Struthio camelus: one gene and its partner. The protein of the gene in region 2 binds, or shares a complex with, the protein of the main gene of each other region. Links are inferred from orthologs where the notes say so. Each region holds a gene or a part of one and is shown on either strand. Other genes may lie near its edges. The genes, in order: NSMCE2 and NSMCE4A.

Region 1 (15,703 bases), on a different chromosome or scaffold from region 2:
ACACAAGCTTATTTTAATAAAGAAAACAGGTAATTTTGACTAAAAGTGTTGAAAGACTTGAGTAAGATTTGTAGATTAAGAAGTACTTTAAAAGAGCACTCTAACACTTCGCTATTCCTTATCAGTACCATACATTATGTCATAAAATTAGCTTCTTCACAACTTGCCAAAAAAGTTTTCATTTTTTGTTTGCAGAACTTTTTGCACAGCTTAAAAAATTATTACCATAAACATGGTACAGTGTCTACAGAAGCACTTTTCCTCGTATAAGTTAACATGTCTGTCTATAGTTTGAAAGTGTTTTCGATAGGGTCCTTTTAAATTAATGCTCTTGCATTTGTTTATTTCTTACGTGATTCACTGATCTTGAGATGCTGTTTTTTTAGCGTCTGTAAATGTTTTCAGCTATCCAGGCTTCACTAGAGGTGTGCCATTAATTATAGAAATAAGATCGTTTGGGCCACCCTAAAGAAAGAACCCTGCTCAAAAGTAAATGCTTTGTTGAAGCTCATTTCCAAAGAGGTCATATAGAAGAGACTATAGAGTTCAAAGAGTAATCTCTGAACATACTTTCTTTCAATTTTTATTCTTTATTCATCCAATTGTCATAGATAAGAATAGTAATATTAGTGCTTCTTTTTAGTCACATTGCCTCTTAAGGGATGATCAATCTCTTTTCAGTAACTAGAACAATGAGAATCTTTGAAGGAATTGATGAGAGTTAATAAAAGTCGCCAATCATTTATTTTTTTCTAGGCTTCACAGTTGAGTAATTTACCCAAGAAACCATTTGATACTCAATTTTAGATTCCTCTTCTGTCTCACGCTAACTTACCTGGTTATAAATGTCATCTGATCGTAAGCGGCCAATAACCATGCTGATGAACGTTTCACTTATGGGTACCCTGCTGAAGTAACTCTCAGGGTAGTTTGGAGGCCTTTTAGCTCCAGGCTGGCTCGAGTACCCAGTGCTTCGAAGCAGTTTACAAATATCATCTAAATTGGAATCAGCAGAGGATCGGGCTGCGCTGTTTTCAAAAAGGAAAAAAAAATTAAGCTGTACGACCTGACTATTTCCTCCTCTCCTTTTCCTCCTAACCCTGCCTTTGTCTCCAAGAAAGTAATCAGATAGTAAGGTTTGGGAGACTTTTGTATGCTTACTTCCTGAACATAATTTTCACCATATTACAGAAGGACACTGACAAGTGCCCATACTGGAATCCCGGATAAGCGTACAAAACACAAACAAACAAATCCAAGAAAACGTTGTTCAGGGACAGAAACGACTACAGTTGCATTCAGAAGAGGTTCATTTGTCCATGCCCCACCTTTTCTGAATTCCCCTTCTTGCTCCATTCCTGTATTTCAGAGTTAAGGAATCCTTTGTCATTACACACTTGACAGCCATAAGCACAGCCAAAACACGTACAGGGTGCTCCCTTTTTTAGTTGCATTATTTGTGAAAGAGTTTGCACCGATATTCTCGGCGATTCTAGCTGTGATAAAGCAGTGCTGACAGCCTGCCCTGGAAATCTCGTTATCAGTTTGACTAATCAAGCTCTCTGACTACAAGAGGTTTGACTGTCTAGATGCTCGGGACTTTTCAGAGATTTGCTCCAACATTTGGGAATATCTGATGCTTTCAAAGCAGATACTTGTAGCTTCATGCGAAAGTTTATTTGTCAGTGGCTTTCAAATCTCTGTTGTGACAGCATGAGAAATCTGTGGCCCAAGTTTTGCAGCCAGATGTGCAAAAGCAGCTAATGCAAGGAGCTCTACTGACATTCAGACAATGATGCAGATTTATAAGGGTCTATCCGTATGGACCAAACGGTCAAAACGGTACCAATATTTCTGTTTATCTTAATTCAATGAGTTAACTGAACATACTGCATGTTACACTCTTTCAGCTTTTGAGTTCTTCTGAATACCAATCCACATTACCTGTATCTGTAGTAGGAAACCAACATTCTTTCTCTGACCTCTCCTTCAATCTTCTGGTCAATGACCAATAGCATGACTCCATATAAATAGAGTGCTTCACACTGTTAAGGAAAAAAACAATCAGAAAGAAATCAAATTAATGCAGTTTTGTAGCAACATCTGAAGACAAACAAGTGGTGACAAACTAACACAATGCAAACTATGTATATAGTCAATATAGTATGAAAAAATGGCAGGGCTGTAGACTTTGGGGCTTTGACTGCCTCAGATTGAGCCATAGCATTTCAATGTATGTGGTAAGTTTAAACCTTTGTCCATTCTTGAGACTAGATGTAAACAAAATAGACGCCAAAATATATCTGGAATTAAACTCGTTGGTTCATTTTCTACTATTACAAAACTCTTGAGTACTTACCAGAAGCTGTTTTCCATCTTCATTGAGGAGGACAGTTTCTAATGTTTGCTGAATGTAAATTCCTTCATTGAGGTCATCTAAATACCTAGGAATCATACCAAAAAATTGGTCATTGACTATTTTGCTCTTAAAGCATGCGTCCCCAGAAATCAACTGGCCAATTTTCACGCAAAGTCAGCAGACACGTCAATCACTCGTCCAGCGCAAGCAGCACACACAGGTTTTACACACAACAAAGAACAGATACTCTAATATGAAATGAGAGGCTGGAACTCGTAGCTAGGGTCAACCAGCTGGCAAATCCTCCTTCAATTTGCTAATGCTGTATGGGAAAGATACCGAAGGAACTCTGTAACTTAACAGCTAACAAATCAATCTCTTAACCTTCGCATGGCAGGACACAGCCTGAGAACAAAGTAGTCCTGGAAAGGAAAAGCTTTTTTTTCCTCCTTAAAATTTAGTAAAACTATCATATTCTCAGATTATCTCCAACAACAGCTACGGGAAATACCTTAAATTTATCTTAATTGCAGTTTGAAAGGCAGAGCTATAAATAAAATATTTCATCTTGATTAACAGATGATTTCTTCTTATTACAGGGTTTTCTAGTAAACTGCTTATTACCACAATGAGCTCAAGCTTTTTACCTAAAATCAACAACAAAAGCAATTCTTAGACTTCACACTCTCTTGCACCTCTTCCTTAAGGTTTTTTCATAAACCTTTCCTACCGTTTTGACAAGAGTAACAAACTTGAGACTATGGTAACTCCACTGAAAAATTAAATTTAGGAAAACAATACCAATGAAAGTTAAAGAAAAAATACTATCTGATTCTGTTCAATAATACGGAGTTTCTTTTCATTCATAAATCTTCAGGACAATCTCTCAGATAAAGAAGAATTAGCTCTAGCTTACGTTTATGGAAATAAAGTAGAGATGTTAAATGTTTTCAGGTCGTAGATTAAGCTGGTATGCAACAACAAGAGTAAAAGTTAGTGCCCAGTCCAGCAAGCCAGGTTTCCCAGTGCATACGAACACGATTCAAGGGCAAGCACTGAGTCTCCAAGGAAAAAGTTTCCAATCATTAAGATTAAACAGTACTGTAGTCTTTAAGAAACTCTAAATATCATTAAAAAACTATACCTGTTTAAATCTACAATGTATTTATGAACACTCTGAAAAGCTAGATAAAATCTTGTCAAAATTTCAATGTTGTTTTCACGAAATTCTTCATCTAAATCCAGTAACTCAGGCTTGGCTTCCAGCTTGCCTTCACACGCCTCAGGCCCCTAAGAAAGAAAATTCATATTTAAGAGACAATATTTGATTGTGTCTGTGACAGTCTTCAGTAGGACAAAGAATATACATGACCACTAGCATGTATGTAATGACAGAATTAACTGTTATTACTAAAATAAGGCACCTGCAGTTTTCCAAGCTACTTCATGATTAAACGGTGATCCCATAATGATGAATTCTACATTTTGCTACAATCTATGATTATCAATACGATAACACTTTGGGTAAAATTCTGACGCATCTGAAACCACCATGTGCTTTACCACGGACTCTTTTTAATGGCAGCTATCTCCTTTCTGGAACTTTTTCCTTTACACATTTGATCTGTTTGATTTCTCAAACAGAATCCAGAACATGAAGGCCTCACAGATAAGTTGTCAGCTTTGTACCTTCTCATACATTTAAACTCCTTGCAAGTATTAAACCTACGTGAGAGTTTTGACAAATTCTAGACCTAGGTCTGTGCTAGTCCCCAAAACTGGCACAGAAACCGTGTAATTAACAACTGTGTGGGAACAAGGGGAGAGGAAGACGAGCCTGACTTTCTGAAAGAAATGGTTCAAACTGTTTTAACCATTTGCTGCTGTCAACTCACCACCTTTCAGTCCTATCACTAACAGTTAACTGAAACTGTTATTAAACATCATTCCACAGAACACTTACATGGCATGAGATCACGACTTAAAAGGATTTTGTGAACAGGAACTCCATAAAAATCACTTAAAATAGGCTTAAAAATTAAATGTCAAGTCTAACACCTGGCTGACAACTTCTTAGTGGTTTTAAAAATGCTCTTCTATTTCTTTTTTTCTATGAAATGGCCACGTGAAACAAAGCATAAAAGCAGGCCCCAAACTGACTATGAAGCTTAAATGCACAAAGTAAATGGACTGATTTTCAAAATCTCAAATCTCATCACCTGATTTTAAGCATCATGATTGCAGGAATGGAGTGCTCATGGTGTTAATATCTGTAAATTCATGAAAGCCTGGTTTACAAGCATGTCTTTTATTGATTTTGTTGCAATTAGGCTGAAAAGCAACAGCAGTATCTTGCTTCTTAAACATTCAGGAATCTTCCAGAATAAATGTATTTCTGGCCAGTTACAACTTGACAATGTAAGAGCAAAGAGGTATTTGTATAAAAAAGGCTTGTAAAAAAATCTACATCTAAAGGTAATTGGGAGATCACCTGTGCTCAGGATTTTCCGAGCCCAAAGTACTCAGAATTTGCAATGCAAAAAAGATCCACAAAAAAACTCCAGCCCCCTTAAATGTTGCTGAAACAGTAACGTCTCTTTTATTGTACAATCTAAATGGAGAAAGTCAAATTACATCATCTGTAGAGTTCCTTGCAAATCATGCTAGAGAATGACAGAGGGGAAAAAAGTACTGCAAGAATCTTAGTTCTGTAAGAAAAATGAGACCTTTTCACGGACGCTACTCTTTAATTTATCTGTTGATTCAGTGCTCATGGACAAGCACCATGAATGAACAATCACAGTACTGTCAAACAGGAAAGCATAAAGCCGTTTGTATGGCTGCAAAGAAAAGGCTACAGATAACCAAAGGAAGACAGGCATACTGTGCCACAGAAAAACAACCAAGTGCTTAGGCTCAGAGCTTGCTGGTGAAAATGCAATTTTAAGTTTACTCAGGAAACAGTAATTAAAACCCCCCCAAATCCAATACTCAAATGTCATATAATCAGTCTTCTTTGAAACTCAAGGCCAGATGACTCATCAAACATTTTCAAAGCTGTATCAGGGACTGCTTTTGTATGTATGTATTTAAAGCTGTCCCATTTCCTGCCCTAAAGCTCAGTGCAGGTAGTGGTTGTACTTCTATTCTGCTTAGGGAGCTAAGCACACAATCTTCACTAGTCTGCTTCTGCTCAGTGAAATAAATAAGGTCAGGCTGAGTACCATCAGAAGCGTATAAACACAAGACAGCCCAGAAGAGGAGTGCTAGTATGCGAGCACATCCCATTTAGTATCTTAGTTTGGTGCATTTTTGGTAAATACTGAGTAAACAGGAAATTATCTTAGTCAATTCCGATGAACGTTAGCAACTAACATAACAGTAACTGTTTCCACACTTGTGAGGACATTAACACCCTTAGGCTTTCGCCCTTAGTGAAACACCCTTAGGCTCACCCGGACAACGATACTTTGAAGAGAAGTTTCACAATAAAAGAAAAGGATTTACCTTAAAATAACTGAAATCGAATATGATATCCCCATACTTCTGTTGATCAGCCTTGTCCTTGAGCCTGAAAACACCAGGAATAAATTCAGAAAGTCTCAGAAGTTCTGCAATGATGGCATTTCCACAGGAGACAATCCTAAGAATGGCCTGACCACAAAGATTATTTTCAGCTAAAAAATCAACCATTGTGGAGCTGAATGTGACCGCGTAGCAACAGTCCTGCAGTCTGCTCCCGAATGTTAGTCTTCAGGTTATTTGAAGAAGAACGTCTAATGAGAAAAGTTGCTGTTCCATTAATAGTACCTGTAAAAACAAAAACATACACATTTTGAGTGTTTCATAGTTATACTTCTGATAATTTATTCTATAGGGTTTTTTAAGCACACGATTAAATCTTACGCTTTATGAAATCTAAACGCTCCATGTTTTGTCCAAATGAAAACAACAGACTGAATTTACCTTCAACATATATGCAGTTTTGGCTCAGTCACCTGTGTGATCAGGCAAGAAATAATAGTGTGATCTTTTGTACTAGAAAATTTTAAGGTAACTATTAAAGAATGAAACAATCACAAAAACTGAAGCAATTGAGGCCATGCAGCAGACGGCAGCAAGGAAAGCACAAACTAGTACGGTACAAGACGCATGTTGGAACAAGGGAGAATCCAATAGCAAATGGAAAGAACATAGCTCCACTGCTTTATTTATTGCTTAAGGGAGAGCTTTTGTACTGTGGTTGCATTTCCTGGCCACATTTTTATTTATGGGCATTTTTTGCTGAAAGATCTGGAATGCAGCATGGCTAAAAATAAGCTGCTTTTTAATTCTGAAACATTTATGGGAGGTTATGAGCTGACTTCACTTTTTTTTTTTTTATCAAAAACCTTCTAAACCACTGAGTTACATTTAAGTTGACGAGGCATTTTCCGATCCCAGTCTGTCTCAAAATGCACACCAGGAGCCTCGTCTTCCTGCTACGCATGGAGGAAAGCATCGCTAGCACAACAAGCTCTGCTCTGCAAAGTCCCGCGCAGCTCCCAGACCCAAGTGAACAGGACCGGGCTTTAATTTACATCTCATCCCCCTCCAGTAACCTGATTCATCAGGCCACAGCGTGATTTCTTGACCGAATGGGACGTTAAAAATATGGGAGAGCCTGCAGACAGCTCCTGAAGTTGCACAAAAGCCATTTCCAGCGCGGGCGAGCCTCACCGAGGAGGACAGGCCGCCGTTTTAACTCCCTTTTCGACAGGCTCCTCCGAGACGCCAACGGCCCCCCTCAATGTCTGAACCTCCCCCCCCCCCCCACCCCCGCCCTGGAGCAACGGCCGCGCCGCGAGACCAACGGCCGCCCGCGCCCTAGGAACGGCCGCGCCGCGAGACCAGCGGCCGCCCGGCCCCGCTCAGCCCCGCCGCGGGCTAAGCTCTCGCCTCCCCGCTCCGGCGCCAGCCGCGACCTCCCCGGGATGCCGCCCCCGCTCGGCGGCGCTTACCGTCCCCGCGGCTAACGCGGTGAGCGGCGGCGAAGGGCGGACGGAGGAGGCTGCTCCGCTCCGCCGGCAACGGGCGAGCGGGCGGGGACGGCGGGCGAGGCGCAGCCCTCGGCGGAGCGGCCGCGGCAGGTGAGACGCAGGCAGCGGCGAGGAGGCGGCGGCGGCGGCGGCGGCGCCCAACCCTCCCATCACATGACAGCGCGCCGTCATGTGCCGAGGCGCCGGCTGATGAGGCGGTTCCGCCGGCGGCCTGTCCCGCCTGCCCGCGGCCGAGCGCGGCTGCCGCCGTAGAGGGTCGGCGCGGGGGCCGCCTCTGAGAGGAGCCCCTTGAGGGCCGCGGCGGCTGGGACTAGGTGAGCGGCTGCGGCTGCGGAGGGGCCCGCTTCGGCCGCCCCCCCCTTCCTCCTCCTCCTCCGGCAGGGCGCGGAGTGCGAGGGAGGGCCTGCGCGGCCCTGTTCTCCGGGCAGCCTCCTGCCCGGCGGGGTGGGCCCGGGGGCCGCTGCCCCGGCCCGTGCGCGGCTGGCACGGGGCGGCTCGGCGGGTGTTGGGGCTGCGAGGCGGGCGGCTGGCAGAGCGGGGCTCCCTGCCCCCAGGGCTCTTGTCCCCAGCTCTGCGGCGGCGAAGTAGCGTCTCCGTGGCACAGTGACCGTTGTAGGAGGTAGAGATCGATACTATTAATGAGCCCTGATCAGCTGTAGATCTTGCGTTTTGTCTCCTTTTCAAAGTTTGGAAGAATAGAGCAAAGGGAAGTTAGGTCGTTTGCTCGAATCTTAAAAATTGGTGGCAAAATTGAAACTTTAACCTTTTAGGGCTTCTGCTTTGCGGTCTTCTATTTTATTGTTGAAAGAAAAAACTGACCAGCCAGTCTCACTTGGCTCTCCTTTATGAATCTTGGTTTTGCTCATTGTATTTCCCAGAAGATGAAGGGTGGGGGTTGCAAGCTTAAGTGCTTCATTGATGCACCCAGTGAAGACCTTCATGGCAAAAGAGAGTGCCTTAAAGAAACTGCTCAAAACCCTGTTCCACTGAGGAAGTTGCCCTTTCCTCTAAAGGCAGCATGAACAGCTTCCAGCTGTAAGTTACACTTGAAGAATTAACTTTAAAAAAATTGAAAAGGAAGTCTGTGCTTGGGGTCATCAACTATTTCTATCAAGTTTAAGCTTTTGTTTAAAAAAAAAGAGTCTGTCTATGGGTACTTAAATTATCTGCCAAAACACAAATTGTGATGAAGCTACCAATGTGATGGTATGATTTAGTGTTGTACGTAACTTCAGTTCCTGTATACTCGGTGTTCCCCCATGTTTCAGAAGAAGGAAGAAGCCTTTTTAACTTTTCATTGTTATTTTTTTTTCAGATTCCTGTCTTTCACAGTGTGTGTGTTTGAAATTTCCAAAAGAACAGCAGACTTGCTCAATGAATGAGATTTACCAAGTTCAAGAAGTGAATTAGGTTCTCTCTGTTAATTTTGATACACTGAATGGGCCCAGAAGGATAAAAGCGCTAATATGCATTTACGTGACTTAACAGTGTATGAAGTTTGCATTACCGAGGTTCAGTATAAACACTCTTGGTGAAATGGCAAACAGCTGCTTTAAAAAAGTAGGTTAAAAAATTTAGTGTAACAGCCTAAAGCATTTGTTATTAAATTAAGCTTTAAGAGCATCCCTTTCCATTACTTTCAAGAAGTTCTCTAAGAAACTTTTTCCTTGTCTTCTGTTATCAGATCACCAGTCTCTTAAATGGTATTTTAGATAGCAATTGCTGTATTTTGGTGGGGAGATTAGGAGAAGAGATGAGCTGGAGCTATTGAAGATTGCAGCCTCCTTTATGACAAGATGCACCTTTAGCAGCGGGGAGAGAGAGAGAGAGAGAGAGAGAGGAAAGCTGCTCATATACATTTTAGAAGTTCAAGTTGTCATGAACTTGAACAGCTGTGTTGCTAAAAGGCTGTTGTAAGCTCGTGTCCTCAGAACAGTGTCATAAAAGATAGTCTTGAGTGGCCAAGCACATTTTTTAAAGAGAAAGAAGAAAAAAATAGGGAAAAAAAAACTGTAAGAGAGGAAAGAAGGTGGCAGGAGAAATTCCAGTCTCGTAATCTGCCTGACATTCATGTGGAAGATTGCAGTGCTGTGCAGATTAGGATGAGTGTAAGACATAGTTCTGGAATCCCAGGTAAAGTAGTAAATGTGAGACAGAGCCTCGGATATAAAGTTTTGTGCTTTCTATTTAGATACTATCCTGATTTCTGTTGGATTATAGCCTGTGAAAGGGAGTAATCCATAGAATGACTCATCTCCTTGTTACTCTGCATACTAGATGCATCTAACTTGGGATGTACCCCAATTTTGGTTTTGGATTTCATTTCTCCCCTCCCCAGTATAGTCTCAATATAGTCCCTGATAATACCAGTTATTGTTTACAAGGCCTAATGCAGTATTTCTATCTATTTAAGACTTTTGTTTTTTATAATCAATTGTTTGCCTAAAGCTGACCAGAATTTTTCTAACTTCCTGCAACTTGAAGTATAAAATTCAGCATTCAACATGTGTCTTTTACTAGCTACATGTTGTCTAGGCAAATTATAGCAGAGAACAAAAAAGGAAGAGCAGAAGATGGAACTTCTGAGAAGAGACCACCGACTGATGTGGAAAGTATGATTGATTCAAGTTATAGGGACAGTGTAAGCAATGCTACTTGAAGGTCATGTTAATGACAGAGGAAAAGGAGTTAGTCCTAGCAAGGATGTTGGTCTGTAGTGGAAAGGAAGTAAAGGTGGTAAAGAGCACAGACATGAGTCTTGTGTGATTTAGTGTTCTGTTCCAATAGAATATTGGTAATATAAACTAAATTTGTGACATCTTTGATGGAAATTCTTAACATTTGTAAGGTAGGCTTTTACTTAAGAAATAGTATTAGGTAACTTTCTGCTAAATACATTCTTAGAACAGTTACCATTTATTTGATTTTTTTTTTCTTCTTTTTCTGAGGGCTGGCTGTTTGTTGAAACAGGCTTGTAATTGGGTGAGGCTCAATTTGATGGAAGAAGTCATATTCTTACTAGCCTAATTGCAAATATATCTAGAAAACAGACAAGTTTTTGGGTACTCTTTCTTTGGAGCTGAAATAGAGCAGAAACTTTCAAGCTAACATAATCCTTGAGTATTTCGGTCTCACTGTGCTATAGCAATAGGAATGAGAAGATGAAAAACTGCAAGCTGCTGTTTGTGGTGTAGTTTTGATTAGTGTTGAATAGGAGGGGGGGTTGAAATCCTCTAGTGAATCACATTTCTACTCGTGCCACTGACTGAACTTTCTCTGACATTTTGGGAGCTGAGATTTCATCCCTGTTCTCTGATGTTTGAGGAGCCCTGTTACAGCTCTGTGTTTAGCTATCTGTACTTCTGTTTTCTCTTCCAAATGCGCTGTGTGTAAACTGCATTCAGAATGTTATATCTGTTATTTCTAGACTAATGGTTTCAAGATGCCAGGGGGTGCAACAATCTCATTCAACTGTGTGGATTCTTCTCTTTCATCTTTGAAAAACTGCCAGTCTTACATTAACACTGGAATGGATATTGCTACTCGTGTTGCCCTTGACCTTGTGGAAAGTCTCAGTAAGTAATTCCTTTGAGTATATTATCTTGCTTATATTGCTTCCTGAACTTTACAGATGGGTCCTAGGCCTACGTATTTTGACTTAGTTACAGTCAATATCTACTTCATCATAGAAACAGCAGCTCTTCTGGATAGTTCAGAGTGTTACCATTCCAATCACTTCACTGTCTTAAGTGATAAATTCAGTGAAAGTATAAACACCAAGTAACATTGTCCCGGCTTTTGTAACACTTTTAAAAGACTAATTGCATTCCAGTGTTTGTTATCTTACAGCCTTGTAGAAACTTTAACAGTGCTGAAACGGATGGACAAAGCCTTTTAAGCGGGTGAATAAAATGACTTTTCGTTCTAACACTGCTACTTTGTGTGTGTTTTATTTAATGTTTAGGGCAAGATACGTTAAAATAATACTATTGATTTTGAGTACAAAAATTGAGACATGTGCAAGAGATGTAATTTTTCTGAATAGTGTCTCTTTTCCTGCTGAAAATTAGGCTGATTTAGGGTGCTTCAGTTTGGACACTTGCAAACAGAAGTACTCTAAATCTGTAATCACTTCTGACAGTCTTGTCATTGCTGTTTTACAGCAACAGGTGCATTGCAGAATTGCTTTTCAAAGACAAGTATTTGGCCTCCTATTGCTACAACTCTTGGATCTACTGTAAAGTTTTCTCTAGGAAAAAATTAAACCTTCCAAGCTCCAAAGCCCTAAATGATAGTTTTAATTATGAGTGGAGACTGAGAGTCCTCTAAAACAACATAATTGCTGTCTTGCTCTCAACTAAGCCAAACTCTATATAAAATCAGAATGAAATTTTCTGTTTGTATACTCTCTCTCTCCGACCTTTTTATCCATATTACTGTCAGAGGTAATTGATGCCCCTTTTCAAAAGTGGTAGAGGAGACGGAAAGCTTATCTAAACAGTCAGCTGGGAATTTCCTTTGCAGTAAAACTGGTATAACCAGTTCTGTTTCCTCTCTGCATTTGAAGTTACCATCTGTCCTACTTTGCCGTAAGTGATACATGGAAATTTGCTGACTGTACTGAATTCCGGTAATCCCAAGACCTCAGAATGAGCCACAGAAGGTAGTTATTGGCAACAAAAGCTAAAAGCTGTGATTAATTTCACCTTTCAGCAGAAGTCAAATCAAGTCCCTGTTGCCATTCACATTTTGAAAGGCGGAAGGCAACTCAAACTCCTCTATGAAGGTTTGCGGCTGAAGGTGTGTGCCATATGCTTCTAGATAATTTTGTTATCTTCCTCACTTACCAACTTCTGGCATATTCATTTTAATTATAACCTCCAAATTATTTTGACTTTTCAGTAACCAAATGGGCCATATTTAGTGTCCTATCAAGAGAGGAGATCACTCTTGAAATTTCTATGGTCAGTGCTAATGGCTAAGTTATTTCATAGAACTGATTTTATTTTGGCATGAGAATCTTCCTTGTGGAATCATGACTGTAAACTATGAAGCACCACATCTTTTACATAGTGTTCCCTTGATCTACAGAAAAGGTATTCCAGGCTATTATTTGTTGCGTAAAGACGTTACAGTTCCTCTCAATTTGGTCTGGTATTACCTTGTTGACGCTTTATTTAAAGTAGTTCTCTTTCACACCACCTCTGTTTTTTTCCTTGCTGATGTAAATACATGTGTACATATAACAATTCTATCACTTTTGGGGGTTTCTTTTGTTTGTTTTTTGTTTTTCTAGCCAAATGAGCAAAGCTCCCTTACCTTTCATTTTAAGGTTTGGTTTTTCACTCCACTGACCGCTTAAATGTCATCTTCATATGTTCAACTTAGAATTCAAGTTGTTTTGTTCCATATAAATGCCATCGGGAAAGATACAGGGTTTCTGTGGCAAGATCTATTTTTGCTAAACACTATATTTTTGTTTTTTATAGTGTTTTAGAATCAGGATTGTTGAATCTGCCTGACTTGACTGTTTAATTCTTACCTCCAACTCATATGTGGCAGTTTCTGTATCTGTAGAATTATTACCCATCTATTCTACTTTGCCTTCCTGTTCCAATGCAAAGTATTCATTCAATTTTGAGCCAGCCTTAGGTTATATGCTGCTGCGTTCTTGTTGCTGTCCCATTTGCAGTTTTTTCTTCTTTCTTTCAAAAGATCATCTGGCTGCTGACAGGTTTTGTTGCCAGGCTTTGTAGTAGCAAAGAATTATATTGTGATTATAAAGTAATAACTTTCTTCACCAAGCACTCTTTCTGGGAAGGTATTTGTTTCCTTTGGACTTTCTTAGGTCTGGGGTTCATATATTTGACAACTCTGCTTTTTGGGAATAATACTGAGATAAAATTTTCTCAGGAAGTACGTGAAAGAAGTTGCATTTACATCTGGAGGTAAATAGCTGGAAGGGCAGATAAAGTTAGCATAATAAGTGGTATTGGTTTCTTCTCTTAAGTGCTCTCCTCTAAGAGCTCAATCCTGAAAACTTTCAATGTTAAGCATATTTATTAAATCGTACCAAGTAGTATTGCTGGGCTGGCTACTGGTTAAGGCAGTAGCGTGGAGGTACCTCCCATAAACCTACCTGATACTAAAGTAGACTTTTTTTTCTTTTTATGAAGGTCTAACTGAATTACTGTTCCTGACTTTCTTAGGTATAGTAGTGGGTTTGCTCTGATGTTGTATTCAAGCTGCTTTCTATAGAAGTCTAGGCAGCAAATGCCATACTTTTTTAAGAGTAAGCAGTCATTCATGAAAGAACCTGTGTATGGTTTTCTAACTTCAAACCTCTAAGCTTGAAAGCTAAGAAATATAAATTAACAAATGTAAGTTGTCTTTGATAGGCTTAACGTGCTTTTATGGTATGCCAATTTTGAGGGTGTTTCCCTGTTAAGTAAAATCACTTAGTGCATATTAGCAACTCTCAAGCTAGAAAGATCATCTTTGGTTTCTGACATGCTTAGTGGAAAAGGATATGGAGTACACTTCTAACGGATGTAAATCTGAAACAGTTCAGTGTTTCAGCGCTTTTGTATGCATCTAAGCTATAAAGCAACTACATGACTCTTCAGGTGGAGAGAAAATCAAAGCTCACTAGGGGGCAGGAGAAGACAGGAAGTAAGCGGTACTTCCGTAAAGTTACAAATGCATAGGAAAGAAACTGGCTTTTTTGCTGTGACTGTTGATCTGGCTGTGAGTAGCCGGTAATCCTCTCCAGTTGAATCATCCAGAGAGCAAAGAACTATTACACTGGTTAGGGAAGTTATTAAAAACCATTCAGAATGATTGTGAATTTATGCTATTTAAACAGATGGTGGTAGTGTTACATGGAATGAAGAGGGAGTGAAACCACTTGTTAGATCATGCTGCCAGAGAGCTGCTGATAGGAAGAGGTGCTAGACCTGTGGGCAGGAATTGGCTCAGGGTATTCAGTGATTTATAGTAATCTTGCTAGTACTTCATCCTTACCTTTCTTCAGGTGATCTCAGATGCTTTGCAAACACTGGTTAAGCCTCTCAGCTCTCTGTGAGGTAGATAATGATTACTTATACCACTACTGAAATAAAACAATCTTTTGAGTGAATAATGACTGCTGTTTAAAAACATGCTGTAAATATGTAATAATCCAAAAGAGCAAAATAATTTTCCTTTGTCTAAATGAAGCAACAGAGACTGACCAGAGAGGATAGGTACTTATTTGAGTTCAGGGACATCAGATTAAACTGCTTATTCATGAATAAATAGCACAATAGATCTTTCACACCTTTATTTTGATATAATGCTTGAAAGTTTCAGAACTGAGTGAAACGTTGGCTTTTCCTTTAAACAGTGATTTCATGTGGAGAGTGCCTGTCACTGAACTGAGACTACGCTATCTCTCAGCATCTTAATTTGTTTTAGTTAGCTGGCATACGCTTATTGACTCGCTGCAGTCCTGCTTAAAGACGAGAATTTAACTATTTCTGAGTAAAGATGGCATTGCTGCAACCCAGTGTATATACTGATGCTACCATTGATGGCTGTGCTGCTGTAGTTATGTATACTGGGCTTTGGATATGGAATAAATATATATTCATTGTATTAAAAATGAACACTTGTGCTCTTCACAGTTAACTTGCATGAGGCAGTGACTTTCTGGCAATAACAAATGAGTCTTTTAGTTTGGATACTTATGGCTGTCAGGTTTGGGGTTCGTTCTTTGTTTTTTCTCCTGAGCGTTAACTGTGCTCAGAGCTGCTGGTATTTTTCTTTATGGCGTTTGACTCTGTTCTGGAAAGATAAAATATCTCACTGGACGCAGTTATTTGCAGGAATACCTACAAGTATTAGAGAAAATGATGGAGGAGGAAGGATTCAATCAAATAATTAAATGTTTTAGCTCTGCAGTAAATATTGGACTGCAATAAAAGTGAGGGAATCGGTTTCACTGGTATAAATTGCAGTTCAAATGATTTGAAGGTCTAAAGATTTATAAACTCTGATGATATCTTCCTGTTATTTTGAAATGTAGGACAGAATCTAGTCTAATTCTCTGTGACTTTGGGTGAGTTCATTTTACTACTTTCTGCAAAATAATAATACTAATATAAAGCAATGCTTTCCCATTTCACATGAGTGGAAAGGTTTAAGACTCAGTATTTCTAAGGAGATTCACTCGCATCTCTCCTTATGCACATAGTTTTCCTGACCTGCATTTGCAGTCTGAGTAGTAGACTTAGAATGATTTCTGCCCATTTAAGCCTTATTAAAT
Region 2 (15,868 bases):
ACACAACCATGTATCTAACACATATTAAAACATACACTGTTGAGTGTTTACCTACGTGAACATGAAGAGCAATCACATACTTTTGGTAGCAGCTCTCCCAATCCTCCTGCTCCTCTCCTTCCCAGTACAAATCTGACTGCCACTATTTCTGTCACTATTCACAATTCACTATGTCACAATTTCTGTCACTATTCAGATTATTATGAAACAAATTATATTTAAAAGCCATCACAATGTTTTACCGCTCTCTGAACTGGCAGTATCAGCCATATGTACCCAATAACAACTTGGTTTACTTTTTCAAACTCTCAAAAAAGTCCCTCTGAATTTAAGTTCTAAGACATTTGCCATTTTGACACAGGAAGACAGACGGAAAGAACAGGGAAACAGAAGGTAAGGAAAATACTACTTATGTGACCTAATTAGTTTGTTACTGTTAATGAACCAAATTCTGATATGAACACCACAGACTGTTATAGAGACTTATTTGAAAAAACACTTGAGAACACACTAACTTAAGTTTTTTTTTTTTCCTGTTCTTCCTTTCAAAGCAGTGAGCAAAGAAACTATTGTGAACTTCTCTTGATCTCTTCTGAGGATGATTACCGTTCCAGACATTTCATGCTAGAACATGGTAAACTACTGAAGTACAGGCACACAGAGAATACTATTTGTCATTTTCTTCTTCATCATTTATCAATTCAACTTCTTTCCTCTTTCAGGAGCATCAACATCTTAGCTGATAAACAAAAGAAATTCTATAAAAATACTACCACAGAGTTGTAAGATTTCAGTAAGCTGGCAATTTTTCATTCTTCATGAGAGAATGAAAGATCTCTTCATATCATTTTCCTTTCCTAAAATTGATAAAAACATGTGTAAAAGCAAGATTCTCCACTACATTTTGTTACAGTTCTGTAGGTATGACCTCTTGATAAACTGTAAAGCCGCACAAGCTCCCCAGACCTTTTTACTATTTCAGAAGGTCTGCCAGTCCTCCATTGTGGACATACATTTTATATTTATACAACTCTGTTTGAAAGACAAGTCCTGGTAGTGAATCAGTGTCAGAAAAAAGTATTAGAAGCTAGTAAAAAAAATAAATAAATAAAAATAAATCAGTCTGTCAATCCTATTTCATTCTATTCAATTAATGAAATACCACAGTCTGCACAAAACAAACCAAGAGGCCTAAGATTTAAATCTGAATCCTTCAGTACAGAACCACAAAACTAGAAATGGCATGAGTAACAGAATGATTTAAAACTCAGCTGCAATAACTCTTCTGTAATAAATCATTAATAAAAATAGTGCTTCACAAACCTGAGCAGGCATTGCCCTTTTTTCTTCTCTTCCTGTAGTCTTTTTCTGCCTCTCAATCCGTTGCCTTGGTACTGGAGGATCAGACTTGAAGGATCCCAACCTAACCCAAATAAAAAGAATATATACATTTTTTTTAAACAGTGTTTGTTAAGAAATCAATACTCAGCAGTTTACTTCCTGATAAAAGTGCAAAATAATGACTAAAATCTGAACAAAGCCTCTGATCACATTTAGGGACTACTGCAAACAACCATCCCCAGTAGTTTTTCCCAATACCTGTTGATAGCTTCACAATAAAGCTATCAATAGGATATTTTAAACTAATGTAATTAGTCCAGCTGTTCCTTTTTACTGAAAATTTAGTAAGTCTACTTTTCTTAAAACTAGAGTAACTTTTGAAACAAAGCATGACATTCATATCCTCCAAGATCTTTGTTTTTATTGCAGATTTCTCTGTATGCAAACTGGCTCCATATAACATTCATCTCTTTTTCATCCACTGTTTAGCATCTGTAAGTTCACATTTGCAATAAGAAGTGTCTTTAAAAAAATGATACTATATAGTCAATAAATAGAACATTCAGTACATTCAAAAGAGATCCAGAGTTCCTCATTAAATAATGAGAATGTATCCGCTAGCCCTTGTGAAGTGCCTTTCTCTCTCTGATGATTGCATCAGCAACTTAGGCACTAACTTTGGCTGCCAAGTCAAATGCCTAAATAAGAGTGTGAATCGAGCGTCAATTCAAGTTAGCTCAGCAGGTATCCAGAATTTTAGCAGCATACCCTATATTGGGTAATTTGCCACTGCTCCATTTCAAAAAACACCAGACTGACCACAGAAAAAAGAATTTGAACCTCAAATAATAGACAGAGTCAGAATTAAGTAGTTCTCTTCCTACAAGGACTGTAATTTAAAATAAACACTCTTCTAATATCTGCTAATATTCACATCTTCCATCACAAGAAGTCCAACAGTACTTAAGATCTCAAAATTCAACTACACAGAAGGAGAAATTAAAAAAAAAAAGTCCCTTCTGCAGTTTTTATAATTTTCTTAGGACAGTATTATATTTATCATTTAGGGCTTTTACCTTGAAAGTGCAAGTATGAATTTGAAATGTTTTTATCAGCTCTATCACCAAAACTTGATGGTACTAGATAGCGCTATTGCAGGCTGAGATTTAAACAGGAGGCCTCCTCACAAAAAGAGAGGGGATACTGATTCTATACAAGGACACTGGCCAGTAATCAGGAGATTTCTTCCAAAGATAGAGCTGAAAAGAAGCTACTAAGAGACAGCCCATTAACACAGATGCATGAAAAAGACTGTTCATCTCCCTTTGAAAAAAGCCTCATAATACAATCATCAGGTAAAAGATACATGAGTTTAGTCTTTCAGGGTCTAATAAAGCCCTAGTAAAGAAATGAATGATCTTCTAACACTTTTAGCTGCAGCTTGTACGGGGAGGGAAAGCAATCAGTCAGCTTTGGAAAGAAAGAGGGTGATTAAAGTCTACTGGTTTAGGTCTGAAAGACATAACTCACGAATACCTTGCTATCCCTAAAATATTTAAAAAAGTATTATTTTGTATCCAAGCCAAGTCAGACTCAAAGAGAAATATAGTAGGAGATACTTAGGAGACGAGAAGTTCCCTGTCACAACAGATGCCATGCAGAAGTCCCCATTGGCACCCTGCAAACTGAAACTAAACTTTACTCAAGCCCAGGGCACTAAAAATCAGTACAAAATTATTTTTTAGAATTAACATCAATTAAGGCCATTAGCTACAGTATATACAATTTTCCTCAAATAAACTTACATGTAGTGAAAAGAAGGTGCTCTTCTGAAGTACTTCTCTGTTTCTGCTCCCAGTTTATGCCAGGCATTACTAGGTAAATAGCCACCAGAAATGCCCTCATTATCACTATCCTTTTCTTCTACTTCTATGCGATTTAGACCCATGAATGTTAGCTACAAGAGAAAGAAATTGAAAAGGAAATTCACTTAAAAGAAAGATCAGTAGATGCATTAATGGTGAAATACTGTTATGCTGTTTGTTCTGCTAGATTAATGTTTAATATCATTGCATAACAAAAGAACGTCAATTTTCCCAAAGTTGCAGTGAAAACAGGAAAACACACATATAGACTTGCACAGCATTGCAGACAGCAGCCACGCTGCATCTGATATTAAACTTCCTATTAGGATACATTTTTATCTAAACTAAATTAGGTGACAGAATTCAATATTAGTATTTAGCAATGAGTAATTCTTTTAAGTGAACGACTTGCAGCTGTTATCAAAAGAGCAAGTCACCAGTGAACACAAACTTCAGTGTCAGAGAATGCATGGACTTCAGGAAAATGGAGGTTAGGGTTAAATCTCATTTCAAGAGATCTTAAACATGCTTTCAGATATTAGTCAGTCTTATCTTTCCAAAGATTTCACTGGGCCCAATAAAAAGGTTTTTCTTTCCTCAATAAATCTTTCTTACTTCATAGACGATAACATAAACACTAAAGAATACAGGCAGCTTTTTTTGTTCTTAATTATTTAGAATATCATCACTCCTAAGTAACTGTAAAGGGATGGATTCTCCATCCTCTGAATTATCAGAAAGAGGAAGAAAATTAAAGGATAGTGCTTCTTATGCAGTCTCCTGTAGTGAACTCGAGAACAAGATTTGGTAACTGCCATCACCCCAGTGATTGCAATAACACTAACCATAAGCTTAAGCCCAAATGCTAACCTAATAACAATTACAAGCTGCACTCTTTCACTGGCTGCACTGGGTCACAGACTCTGTCTTCAGTAAGGAACCAATGTGAGAGCTTTCCACTTGCGCAGAGCTTTTTGCATGTTTGCAATAATCACTACGCAGGATCAGCAGCAAAGAAAAAGAGAGCTACACAAGTAAAACTGTCTGTACTCCAACAGAATTTCAGTGATCTATGAAATAGGAAAGCATTACTTAAATTGCACTATAAAGCGAAAGTATCTCACAATTTCTGAACACCACACACTTCCAGGGAGCCTAGCTTTTCAGATACCATAAAACAACTTCTTTGGCCCAACCCTGCACCCATCAATCCACCCCTCCTCAGGAAAACTTTAATAAAAAAATGAAACTTGATTTTCTTATATCGTAGAATCTTGACTCAGACTCTTTAAATATCTACCATAACATAACACAAAAAGTGTCTTGAAAGAAAAATGTCTGTTGCAATGCTATTCTGAACTGACTCTTCCAACCAGTCACAGTGTAAGAGACAAGCATAGGATGGCTAAAAGTATCCAAGCAATCCAAAGTCCCATTTCATATCAGTCACCTAGGACCTTGAAAACCCCATCCAAAAACACACAAAGCAGTGAACAAGATAAAGAAACTACTTTGCTGCCATGAAACTCCAAACACTGTATATCTTAAAAAACACCAAAAAAACAAAAAGGCACAAACATCTCTCTGCTTTGGTTAAGAGCATGAACCAACTAAACTGTGATGGAGCAGCAAAAGTACAGTTATTCTATATGTGCGGACTACATTCTTAAGTTACGTTTTCCCCTCTGTAAATTGGAAATGCTAAATACATAGTTTACAACAACAATATTAACTAGAAACTTAATCAAAGAAAGTAATAGGAAGTATGTTAAGTTCTATCAGTCAGGTTCTGCCTGACCATCTACAGATTTACTTTTATGAATCTACAACAAAAAGGGCAAACCTCTAGTAAAGTTCTTGGCAAATTCCGAGTCTGGAACTTACTAGGTCTTCTGCAAATGCTGGTGAATCAAACGCTGTCATTTCAGAGTGCAACTCATTGGCTTTCTCCTTTCCTAGATTTGATGCTAAGACAAGAAATTGGGCATCCAGTGCAGCCTCTCGCGCACAGGAAACTGTTACAGAAGAAGAAAAAAAAGTGTATGTTAATAATACCTAATTGTCAAAAATATAATAGTAAAGTTTAGCATACAGAATACCCTAGGTTTACAGCTTTGTAACTGTAGAGGTTACTGTAGTGACCTCTAACACAACAAATAGCATAACACTTGCTATTTCCACAAAAAGGAGAAAAGAAGATGACGACATAGCCAAAGGCAAGCTGGGAGGTCTAACACATCATTTGGAAGAAGAAAATGGATTTTTCATTAACATGTTTTTCTCCTCTGAGTAAAGAGAAGTGAACCCACTTTGTGTACTATTTATGTATATTGCTCTATAAAGATAAAGCAAAAAACGTTTCCAAGTACAAATAACACTAAAGTAATGATATTTATATTCTGGTAACACCTTATTCAAGCAAATCCTCTTCAGCTAAAGTTATTTATCTCAAGTTATTTCATGTTTTTGATAAAGTACTTGGATCTAAATTAAATCTCATACCATTTTTGGTTTGTTTTTTTAAGTTAAGGCATCATCTCTTCATACTTGGCCAACTGTCAAGCAATCATCTCCAACAAGGGTTACAGAATTTGTTTTTACCTCCACTGAACAGCTTATTGGCTTCTTCCAAAGCTTCTGTCAGTTTGTTGCTTTTTGAATTCAGCATATCCTCACGATTTTCTGGATTGGGGGGAGGGGAGAAGAGAGAAAGGAAAATTACAAATGAAACTCCAAATTACATAAAGACACCAATAAACACATACTTGCAACTTAAAGCTAAACTGTCTGGTTCACACCCCAGCCTACTCAAAACGTACAAGACTATTTACAATACTTTCACTGTGAGATTGCATAGGCCTGATTCTTATCAATGCTCACTCACCTGCTCAGTGGCAACTTTGCATTTACATCAATGGAACAAGATTCACATGGCTGGAATTAACGTGGAACCTTATCATCTACTGTAGTTGTATGAATTATGCACATCCAACGTCATCACTCCAAAATACATTTTACTAAAAAGCTCCAAACTTTGTAATGTCAGATTCCTTATAATTCCAATTATTGTTTGTACCTGTGTCAAAGCACTTATCAGGTCCTGTAGTTTACTGAATGTCATTTGTCTCACCTATTTAAACTACTGTGGATTATCAGGAAAAAAAAGAACGCTTGATGATTTTTAACAATCATCCTGTCAAACAGATACTATATGCACCTGTGCATGTTTGATTTACAGACTTTCAGATGTCCGATTCCAAACAGCTACTCACCCCACCTAAGTGTTTTAAGAATGTACACCATTACTCAACGCACAGACATGACACTATTGCATTTCTTGGAAAGTGTTAGATTACAGAAGTGGAAACTGGATCATCCACAAACTGTGTTGCAATCTCTTAAAAACGAAACAAAACGAAAACAAACAAAATCGAGTAAGTTTAGCGAGCACGCAGAAGACAACCAACATCAGGAGCTGCTGCAGTTAGTAGTGCTTACTCAAACAAGCATTGTCATGCCTCAAAAATACAGCAATGAGAAAAACAGCACACTCTAAATATGGATGGAAGAAGTAAAACAATACATATATGTTTGTTTAGAAAACTGTTAAAAAGTTCATGGCACTTTCCAAAAGGCCTAAGGATAAGGTTTTGGCATCGGCAGATCCTGGGACCTGCAGTTCCAAGCTAAGGCTCGTTCTCAAGCACAACGAACGCAACCTTAAGAGCTTGCGGCACTTCTCTAGCTCAAGGAACGTGCCCTCCTTGCATCAAGGCACTCAAATGCACGGTACGTGCAGGTAAACCCCCCTGTAAGCTCTCTACCCTTCCGCAACCCCCCGCTTTCAGGCGGACAAATCCCCAGCTAAACACGAGGCCAGAATCTCAGCAAAGAACTTCAGGCTCCGGGAAAAGCTACTTCCCAAGATCAAGCCACGGTCCCAGCGCGGCGCCGAAACGCTGGCCCTTGCCCCCGCTGGCAAGCCTCGTTTTTTTCCGGGAGAAGAGACATGCCCGCCGGCGGCAAGCCGTGCCCGCCCAGGGCGGCGGCGGCGGCGGGCGCCCCCCGAGGGCCCCGCGGCCCGGGCTTACGCTGCACGCTGTAGATGAGCTCCCGGTACTGGTTGCGGATCATCCTCCTGCTGCGCTCATCGCCGCCGCCGGTGGCCTCGGCGCCCTGCGGCCGCCTGGGCCTCTCGCACACCACCTCCGGCTCCTCTTCCTCCTCCTCCTCCTCCTCCTCCTCGGAGGCCGGCGGGCGCGGGGGGCCGAGGCCGCCCGAGAGCCGCTGCTGCTTGTGCTCGGACACCGCGCCGTTGCGAGAGGTGGACGGCAGCGAGAGGCGGCTGCAGTCCGAGCCCGAGCTCCGCGGGGAGGAGAAGTCACCGCTCCCGCCCGCCTCAGACATGGCTGCGCGGCGCCCCGGGCCCTCACCGGCCGCCGCGGGGAAGGGGGTGACCGGACGGGACGGGACGCGGCCCGCCCAGCCCCGGCCGCCGCAGAAGGCGCCAACGGCGCTGCGCGACACCGTTACCCGGCCCCACGGCGGCTCGAGAGGGCCAAAGCGCGGAGCCGCTCGCAGCGGGGCGGGGCCGGGGCCGGGCCGAGGCCGCCGCGATCCGCCTAGCGGCGGCGTGGTAACCGGGGTAGCGGCGAGCGCGGCCGGGGCATCCTGCCGCCCGCGCAGGGCGGAGCGGAGCGGAGCCGGGAGTCAGGCCGAGCCCGCAGGCAACTGCCTGCCGCGCTGCGACGCGCCGGGGCGCCCGCCCCCGGTTGAGCCGTCCCGAGCGGGCGGGCGGGCGGGCGGGCGGTCGCGCGCGCGCAGCCGCCGCCGCCATTTGCCGGCGGGCGCGTGAGGCGGCGCCCCGGGGCCGGTGCCGCCCCCGCGCCACAACAGCGGCCTGACAGGGGGCGTCGCCTCCTCTTCCTGCCCTAGGCGCCTACCTGTAGTTGACCCTCCCAGGTAGTTTGCCTGCAGTTGTCCCTGAATACAGCCTTCCTAGCTGTATTCCTCAGCTGCCAGTTGTCCCTTGCTCACGCCAACCCAAACTGCAGGCGGGAACGCGAGCCCCGCGGAAACGTCCTGACGCGTGAGCCATTTTCCAGACGCCTGCCTGGCAGCGTGGGCTTTCACACGGCAGGCAGTACCGCTTTCCCGGCAACAGGAGCTTCATAGGTGTCTGCGCAGAAGGGAGGCCTCCACTTTTGTTTTTCCCACCATAAACAGCAGCTCTGTTTAAAGGAAGACGCCGAGTCCTTGCGCAGGAGACGTTTTGTCACGCACGCGGAGCGGGTGGAGGGAACGTACAAGCCGAAGCTCCCTGGTTACTATCTACCTGTGCGGCCACAGAGGCTTTATAAACTAGAGTTTGACACATAAACTTGACGTAAAACTCACCTCCGAGAAAACCCGAGCAGAGCTAGCCTAGCCAGGGAGGCCTCCTTTATCGTACGCTACAGCTTCTGCGCCCTCGGTCCGTTTTATTTGGAAGATAGAGCCCCTGGTCACGGAGGTGCCTGCTGTGAGCCAGGAGAACACCTTACTTAGGACCGAGGTAACAGCAATCGGGGCTCCACTGTCACAGAAAGGCACGACAAAGAGCCAGTGCTTCATCCAGGAGAGGGCAGTGCATGTACCGATACACAGCACATCACAGGATGGAAAATGACAACTCCTGTTTTCATTGCAAGATGTTTTATAGTTGCCAAAAAGGAAAAAAGGCTCTGTAAATAAAACTGCCTTCATTAAATATTAGTAACTCTTTACATCTTGGGTTAACCAGGTTGTCTGTTTTTATCTGCTATTAAAAATAAAACAAATTACTTAGAACTTTCACCTTTGTTAAGGACTGGAAATTTCTTTAAAGATAAACATGACAGTAACAAATCTTTCAACCACTTTTAAGCTTCTCTGTAACATCTGAGGAACAGATGCGGTGAAAGTTGGAGAGATGAAGTATATACTTGACTGAGCATATTCAATACATATGTTTCCATATAATATGTGCAGATTAATCACTACATAGGGATTGTGCTCTGACAAAGTAACAAATGTGTACTTGGAAGTGCGACAGACTCCTAAATTAGTTAATGTGGTGGCATTGTTTAAACAAAAGACAACAACGTTAAAGCAGAGTTAAGTGGTGCAAATATATATTGTTAACTTACGGGTCTTCATAATGTTTAAATTACGCACAGTCAAACATTACAAGTCTGGAAAATTCAACTATATTAAAAATGTCATTTAATGGTGAGGTTTTTATGATACAGACTAAAAAGTATTTTTAATAGAGAGTTTCTCCTCTCTCTGCTCTTCTCCCAGCATCGTTAGAGTCAAGTTTTGGGGGGTGCTCTGTGACAGCAGCCAAGTGTAGCGGTGAATCTGGCTTCTAACCTGAAGCAGCGGGCCAAATAACATCCTGAATTGCCCTTACTTTGCCCCAGCTAGTAGAACTGCTGTAAAAGTATCAGTTGTTCAGGGAGTGTGCTGGCTGATTTCTTCTGATGTCCTGAAGAGCCTACTTCAGAGTTCCTTGAACCACACTTGCTTATGTAATTGCTCCAGTTAGATAAAAGTTGTTAGCAGTCTTTTTGAATTGTGGGTATAGAGTTTGCACAAGATTCTGATGAATCTACAGCGCAAAGAGAATTAAATGAATATGTGATAACGTCAAGTTGCTATAATCTGGAAGAAATTAAGAACAGCCATATGTGCCAAAGGCTTAATCCCTGCTTTCCTAATTGCAGCATGTAACTCCCCTTAATCATAGAGTTCGTAATGTTACAGTAATGCAAATGGTCTCTGCTTCACTGCACTAGGTATTGTTCAAGCATAGGGAGAGGCTTGCCTAAAAACTCTTACAATCTCAGTAAACCGTGAACTAGGAGAGGGAGTGCAGAAGAACAGCTGCAGCCTGTTTGGACAGAGGGTGTTTGGCATACACCCTAGATAAATGCAGCTTACACATCTGGTGTGTACTACCTGTGATAGTAGTTCACGTGCACATAACTTTACCTTTCAAATCTGTTTCTGCACCTGCTGTCATAATTATGTCATTAGGTTTTGAAAGTTATTAACTGTCCTTGTAGAAGATGTACAGGGGAGAATCCTGTTTAAAACCTGCCTTTTTCTCCATTAGTGTGGCTTTTGTTTATGGTCTGTTTTACAGTGACTTCTTGAAGGCTTCAGTATGCTAGAAGTTGTCTGGTCAAGCACCTGGAGAGACAGAAAGAAGCAACTTTTTTGTTATTCAAATTTAAGTCCTTTTTTTAATTTGGTTCTGAAGCAAACTATATTACACTGGATTCTCACTGTAAGACTACATCTTCTGACTGACTCTCCTTTCAGTACTGATGTATGTTCTTAAAAGTAGTAGAAAAAGAAGACATTGTGGCTAAAAAGAAAATTGGCATTTTAAGAGATTTGGGAATTTTTCATGGTCCTGAAACAGGATGAAATACAACTTATATTACAGAAAAGGCATTGGGATTGAGTATTCTTTAACTTTAAAAGAAAATAAAAGTAATTTTATTAAGAGGGCAGCTCATTAAAAGCAACAACGAAAACATATTCTTATATTGATGAATCCCCATTTTTTTTTCAAGAACACATATAAAAGCAGTGATTTCCATCCTGGTAAAGTGCCAACTTACAATCCTCTTATCTTGATAGCACGTGTTAGGCAATTCAGCATTTTCTTATGCATTCATAACGTAGTTGGGCAATCCAGAGGTGTGTTGGGTTCTACTGGGAACTTTTGCCATGTATTCTAAGACTTTTTCGTAGCTCAGATTCTATTTCAATCTACAGTGGTATGGCTCCACCTTGTCTTCCCCAAATCAGTACCTCTGCTGAAGACTGCAAAGTTCAAAAATATGCATGAACCGTCCTTCAAAAATATATGATTGAAATACTTCATTTTGCAGTACAAAAAAGTCTGAATTATGGTTTGGGCTATTGTACAATTTTTGTTTCTTGTACTTCCTGTGACTAATAGAGTGCTGTTGCATTTGTGTTGCAAATTGTTTATGAGTAATACGCTTTTGGACCTTAACACAGAAAGTCTCAAGAGAGGATCCAAAGAAGACTGAGGTTTGTTGTACAATGCAGTACACAGACACATAGTAAGAAATATTCCCTATTCCAAAGCCTTTGTCGTATAGTGCAAAATACAAAATGCTGAGCTGGGTGGCAGGCAAAGTATTGCTCTACAGGTGAAAGGTTCATTAGCTCCCGAGAAAATCCTGTGGTATCCAGTTTCTGAATATGATGCTTCCTTTCTTGAAGTCTATGCTTATTAAGTCATATTTGACCTTTCGTGGTACTTAGACAAGCAGTGCCTTTTACTCACTGGGCACAAGAGCAAAATCTGCCACAGACTGCTCTTTGTCTCAAGCATACTGTACAATAAAGTGGCAAAAAGTGTTCTTAAAGTAGCAACCCACATTGGCGAAAAATTAAACACTACAAAGCTTAATGGTAAAACAAGTGATGGGCCGCATATAAATTCACTTTCAACAAGAATATTGTGTACTGCTAAGAATTGCAACAATTACTGTAAGATTCCTACAGCAACCTGTATTATGTGAAATAAGACCACCCCCCTTAGGATCAGTGGAGTTTATTCTGAATTCAGTATTCAGTTTTGCCCTAAAAATCTCTTTCACTGAAGCTGTACACGTTACTTGGGAGTGGTAGGAATGGGAGAAAGAAAGAGCCTACTGCTGTTCTCCATGTGGACCGTCTATCATAGCACATAACCTATGGTTCTTTGGTTATGCAAGTATTTGTGAGATAGAAGGTGGATATTTTCAGGACTCCTAATTCCTATTCCATGTTCCCATTGTAGAGAATGGACTGGCAGTTTCAGACAGAATAACCAAGCATCAGCTCCTCTTGGGACATCTGGAGAAACTGAATCTGGCAAACATGAACTGTAAAGGTATAGCACCTGCACGTTCTTGCAAGAGAACAGAGAATCAGAGGTGGAAGCGTCAGCCAGGGCAAACCTTAGTGCATTGTCTCATGACTGGAGGGTGACCCAGACCTATTGTGCCAGCATAGATTTTCCAACGTTTAGTTAGGCACATATTTTCTGCTGCATTAGATCTACAAAGGCAGGTTCTTGAGTCCTGTTGATTACAGTGAGAAGAAGCAGGTGCCTAAATCATGCAGAAACCAGATCCCTTATTTTGGCTCCATTTTCAGCACTTGCAGTTGCCTATAAACTGTCTTATCAGATGTATGATTTGTGACCCGCACTGTAGCAGTAGTGTGGGCAGTGGGTTCCTGATACAGACGATGAAGGACACAAAACAGCAGAAGAACGAGGGCTAAGAACAGTGACTCACGTGATAGAGGCTGTGGGGGACAACCCACTGTGTGATCAGTAACAGCTATGGCAAGAGCATATTGTGCGTTATTCATGAGAATTCACAGTACTGTTCCCCTTCCATTCACAGTCATATGGCATCCCACTGGCAATTATTTTCTTAAGAAAACATGAGCAGAGTATATAGTAAGCTGATTTTCAAATACAGTTTAACAACTGGAAACCAGAAGCAGCATCATGCAACCGGCAGATTCTCCCTCCTTTGCCACTAGCTCAATTTAACAATTACATTATTTATCTTACAATTAATTTATAAAACATATGCAATATCACCTCTTACGTCCTGGACCTCAGCTTCCAAAATAACGCCACTGTCTTTTGTGACCTAACTCATAATACACAGCTTCAGAAAAAGCAGAAATATAGGGGGATATTATTAAGAAATTAATATATATGCACTTAACATATGTGCACTTTCTCCTCCTACTAAGTCCAGATGTCAGGATATAAAAATAGGCTTAACAAACGCAACTATGTGTGGGTTATATTTTTTTGACCTCACCTGACTGTACACATTAGGGCTGCATACTTTTTATAACCTATACTACAGAGCAGCTTAAGTGGATTCTCTATTTCAGCAAGAACAGGCAATTTCCATTGTCATCAAACACAGAGCAATAATTCTATTTTCTGCAGTGCTAACAAGGAAATTACCTGTGGTGTTGACTCTGCATCTCAGACAGCTTGGGAGCCGCCCAGCATGCTGGTTCACGTCAAGCAATAAATTGCAGATCTGCCACCGTTAGATTTAGCAAAATATTGAATCACCTGTCCAGTTCTGAAGGATCAGTCTCCTGGTTTAGAGAGCCCCAATCTGCTAGCAGCTGTTCCTAAGTCTTAACGGGAACACAGATTTTGAAATGAGACAGTTTAGTCACTGCCCAGAACGTCACATGTGGTTTTAAAGTTACACTCTTTTTGCATTTCCCTTGTATACTCCAAAATAAATGCTGCAAGGAGATAAAGCAAGAAACTCATTACCTAAGAAAATTGCAACCAAGAGCCATCCCAAGAGTGGCTCTTGCTGACATAAGATAATCCTAGTAAGCTGAAGTGGGGCCTAGACTAATTGAAAACATCAGAAATAAAAAGTTTGAGATATTTGCCATTCAGCTGCCAGCTCTGCAAGCAAACACAGATGAGGGGATATATTTTAACGAGTGCGGCTAACTTTCAAAAATCGTTTTTTTGCAATATAGAGGTGTAAGTTTATATACTTGTTTCTTGCAAAAGCTTTTCATTCCATATTTACAGTTAATCCTGTGGGAGTCAAAAATCTGGCTCTAGATACACTTTCAGCACAGTGGATTAGGTTACAGCCCATCAAATCACAGTATATATTGTGCCAGTCTAAGAAGGCATTTTCCAAGGAAGGCGAAAGAACAATTATTAATAGAACTCTGAAAAAAAAACTGGGGCCTAGTCTTGTGGCGTGTCAGGAGCTCCGAAATGGGAAAAAGCCCCTGGCAGAATCAAACCCTCACTGGCACCAGGAGTTCTTTTTTAAATGATTTGGAAGGTTTCATTGATTGGAAGGCTGACACAAAGCTGCTAAATCAACATGCAGGAGTCATGCTGCCAGAGACCAACATACTCAAAACCTGCAACTTTTCCCCTGTAATCAAACAGCAATATATTTTAGGAAGCTACAAAAACATTTTTGCAGGAAGGAGCAGGAAGCGTATCCATACATCACTGATGCACCAGAGTGCAGAGACTAGCCAGACAACTGCTGCCTTGGTGGTCCATCCAATACATTTCTAATGGAGGAAAAAAGGAATTAAAAGCAAATGCAGAGCAATGACAGATTTTTGCAAAAAAGAGCGAATTAGTGCTTTGTAGAGCTCTGACCACAGGATTTTGCATAACAACGTGGCACTTACTTGGACACTGTACTTTAACTTGCTAATAATTTTTGTATACCCAGACAATCTGTAGGATTTCATTTTTATTTATAACAGTCTCTTGCAATTATCATCTTTTACACAACTGCCAACAACATGACAACAGTTAATTTAAGCCTAGGTGCTTCTGTGATAGTTTTTTTCCTACCGCAGCAATCATTTTCTCACATCTTGTGCTGGTTTGGATATGTTTTCATCATACTGTTCATAGGCCTGTAACTCAGAACCTGTTATAAAAGAAATAATGTCTTTCATATCTGAAATAAGCTATTCCAAAGGAGAGTTTGTCAAAACTACCATGTCACTGAAAACACGCTCCACTTACAGATTATTTCTATGATTTGGTGTAGGTTTCCTGTTCCAGTGACACCTGCTTTGGGGATTTATAGTTAAGACAGCTCTATACTGAAGTGGCTTTTTTCTTTTTTTTCCTAAAAGGGTCGCCGTTTCTCTAGTTGTACATCAAATAGTTAAGGCTAGTCCTCACTGAAGCAAAGTAAACCCTCTTGTTGGACTGTCTTCCTTCAACCACTGCATTCGGACAAGCGGGCTAAGAGATACATTTCATCCACAGTGAGAAGAGGCGAGCTGCTTTCTCTCTTTCCTGACTGTAGGAGCAAAAGACGACTAAACAGAGGCAAAGGGAACGGAGGCAGGAGCCTTCGGCTTTTTCTTCGTCTCCCTCTTGCCAGGTAAGTTGCTAGCGTTCCCAGACCCTGCCTGCCTGTGCGGAGCTCCAGCACAAATACTCCTCCTGAAATACGCAGAGCAGGGCTGACTTGCAATGTTTTTCTTAAGGCAGCTATCGCTTTTAGCAACGCTGCGGTTATAGATGTTAGTCATGTGCTCAACTGAATAGTTTCCCCAAATTTAGCTTACTGAGTTAGTCAGGTGCAAGAGACAGCTTGACACGTAGTAGTTATAGTCCTGGAGTGAAAAGCCAGAATAGAAGATTTTAGTTACTTTTGTTTATCGTGGAACTTGTCTCACTGCCTTAAGCAAACAGCACGCTGACGACGACGGCGGCAGACTGTACCCACTTTACAGGACCTATCTCATGTTATTCTCATGCAGCAACTGAGAATTCCTGTAAAGAACTGATGTGTCATAGCCCTACAGCTCCCTGGGTCAGATTCCTTACACTTCATAGCTGTCCAGCATAGTGTTCTCAAACATGAGCCAATTCACATTAATAGAACACTTTCATGTGATCCAGGCAGAAAGGGGATCCATACACCGACAAGGAGTGAAGGAGTGCAGAAGGTTACACAAATCTGAGACAGAGTGGTACTTTTTCATTTTTAGTCTAGAGGAAAAATTGGGTAAGTAGTTTTTTATTAGTCCTTTAAACTTAAAATTATGTCCAG

Evidence for each region.
Region 1: NSMCE4A (region 2) and NSMCE2 share a complex: the UniProt entries of both Homo sapiens proteins name them as parts of the SMC5-SMC6 complex. The link is inferred for Struthio camelus from reciprocal best matches to the Homo sapiens genes NSMCE4A and NSMCE2.

Annotation. Positions count from the first base shown.
Region 1 is NC_090943.1:160,975,479-160,991,181, forward strand, and holds the start of NSMCE2 (E3 SUMO-protein ligase NSE2), read left to right. Parts: upstream 1-7,568; 5' UTR 7,569-7,712; intron 7,713-7,880; exon of another isoform or gene 7,881-8,017; intron 8,018-8,713; 5' UTR 8,714-8,889; coding exon 8,890-8,958; intron 8,959-10,825; coding exon 10,826-10,973; intron 10,974-15,703. Other genes in the region: WASHC5 (WASH complex subunit 5), read right to left, coding at 836-1,028, 1,945-2,045, 2,360-2,444, 3,504-3,649, 5,867-6,052. UniProt on the Homo sapiens protein: E3 SUMO-protein ligase component of the SMC5-SMC6 complex, a complex involved in DNA double-strand break repair by homologous recombination. Is not be required for the stability of the complex.
Region 2 is NC_090948.1:5,962,887-5,978,754, reverse strand, and holds the start of NSMCE4A (non-structural maintenance of chromosomes element 4 homolog A), read right to left. Parts: upstream 8,001-15,868; 5' UTR 7,614-8,000; coding exon 7,298-7,613; intron 5,889-7,297; coding exon 5,808-5,888; intron 5,222-5,807; coding exon 5,091-5,221; intron 3,299-5,090; coding exon 3,147-3,298; intron 1,424-3,146; coding exon 1,324-1,423; intron 1-1,323. UniProt on the Homo sapiens protein: Component of the SMC5-SMC6 complex, a complex involved in DNA double-strand breaks by homologous recombination. The complex may promote sister chromatid homologous recombination by recruiting the SMC1-SMC3 cohesin complex to double-strand breaks.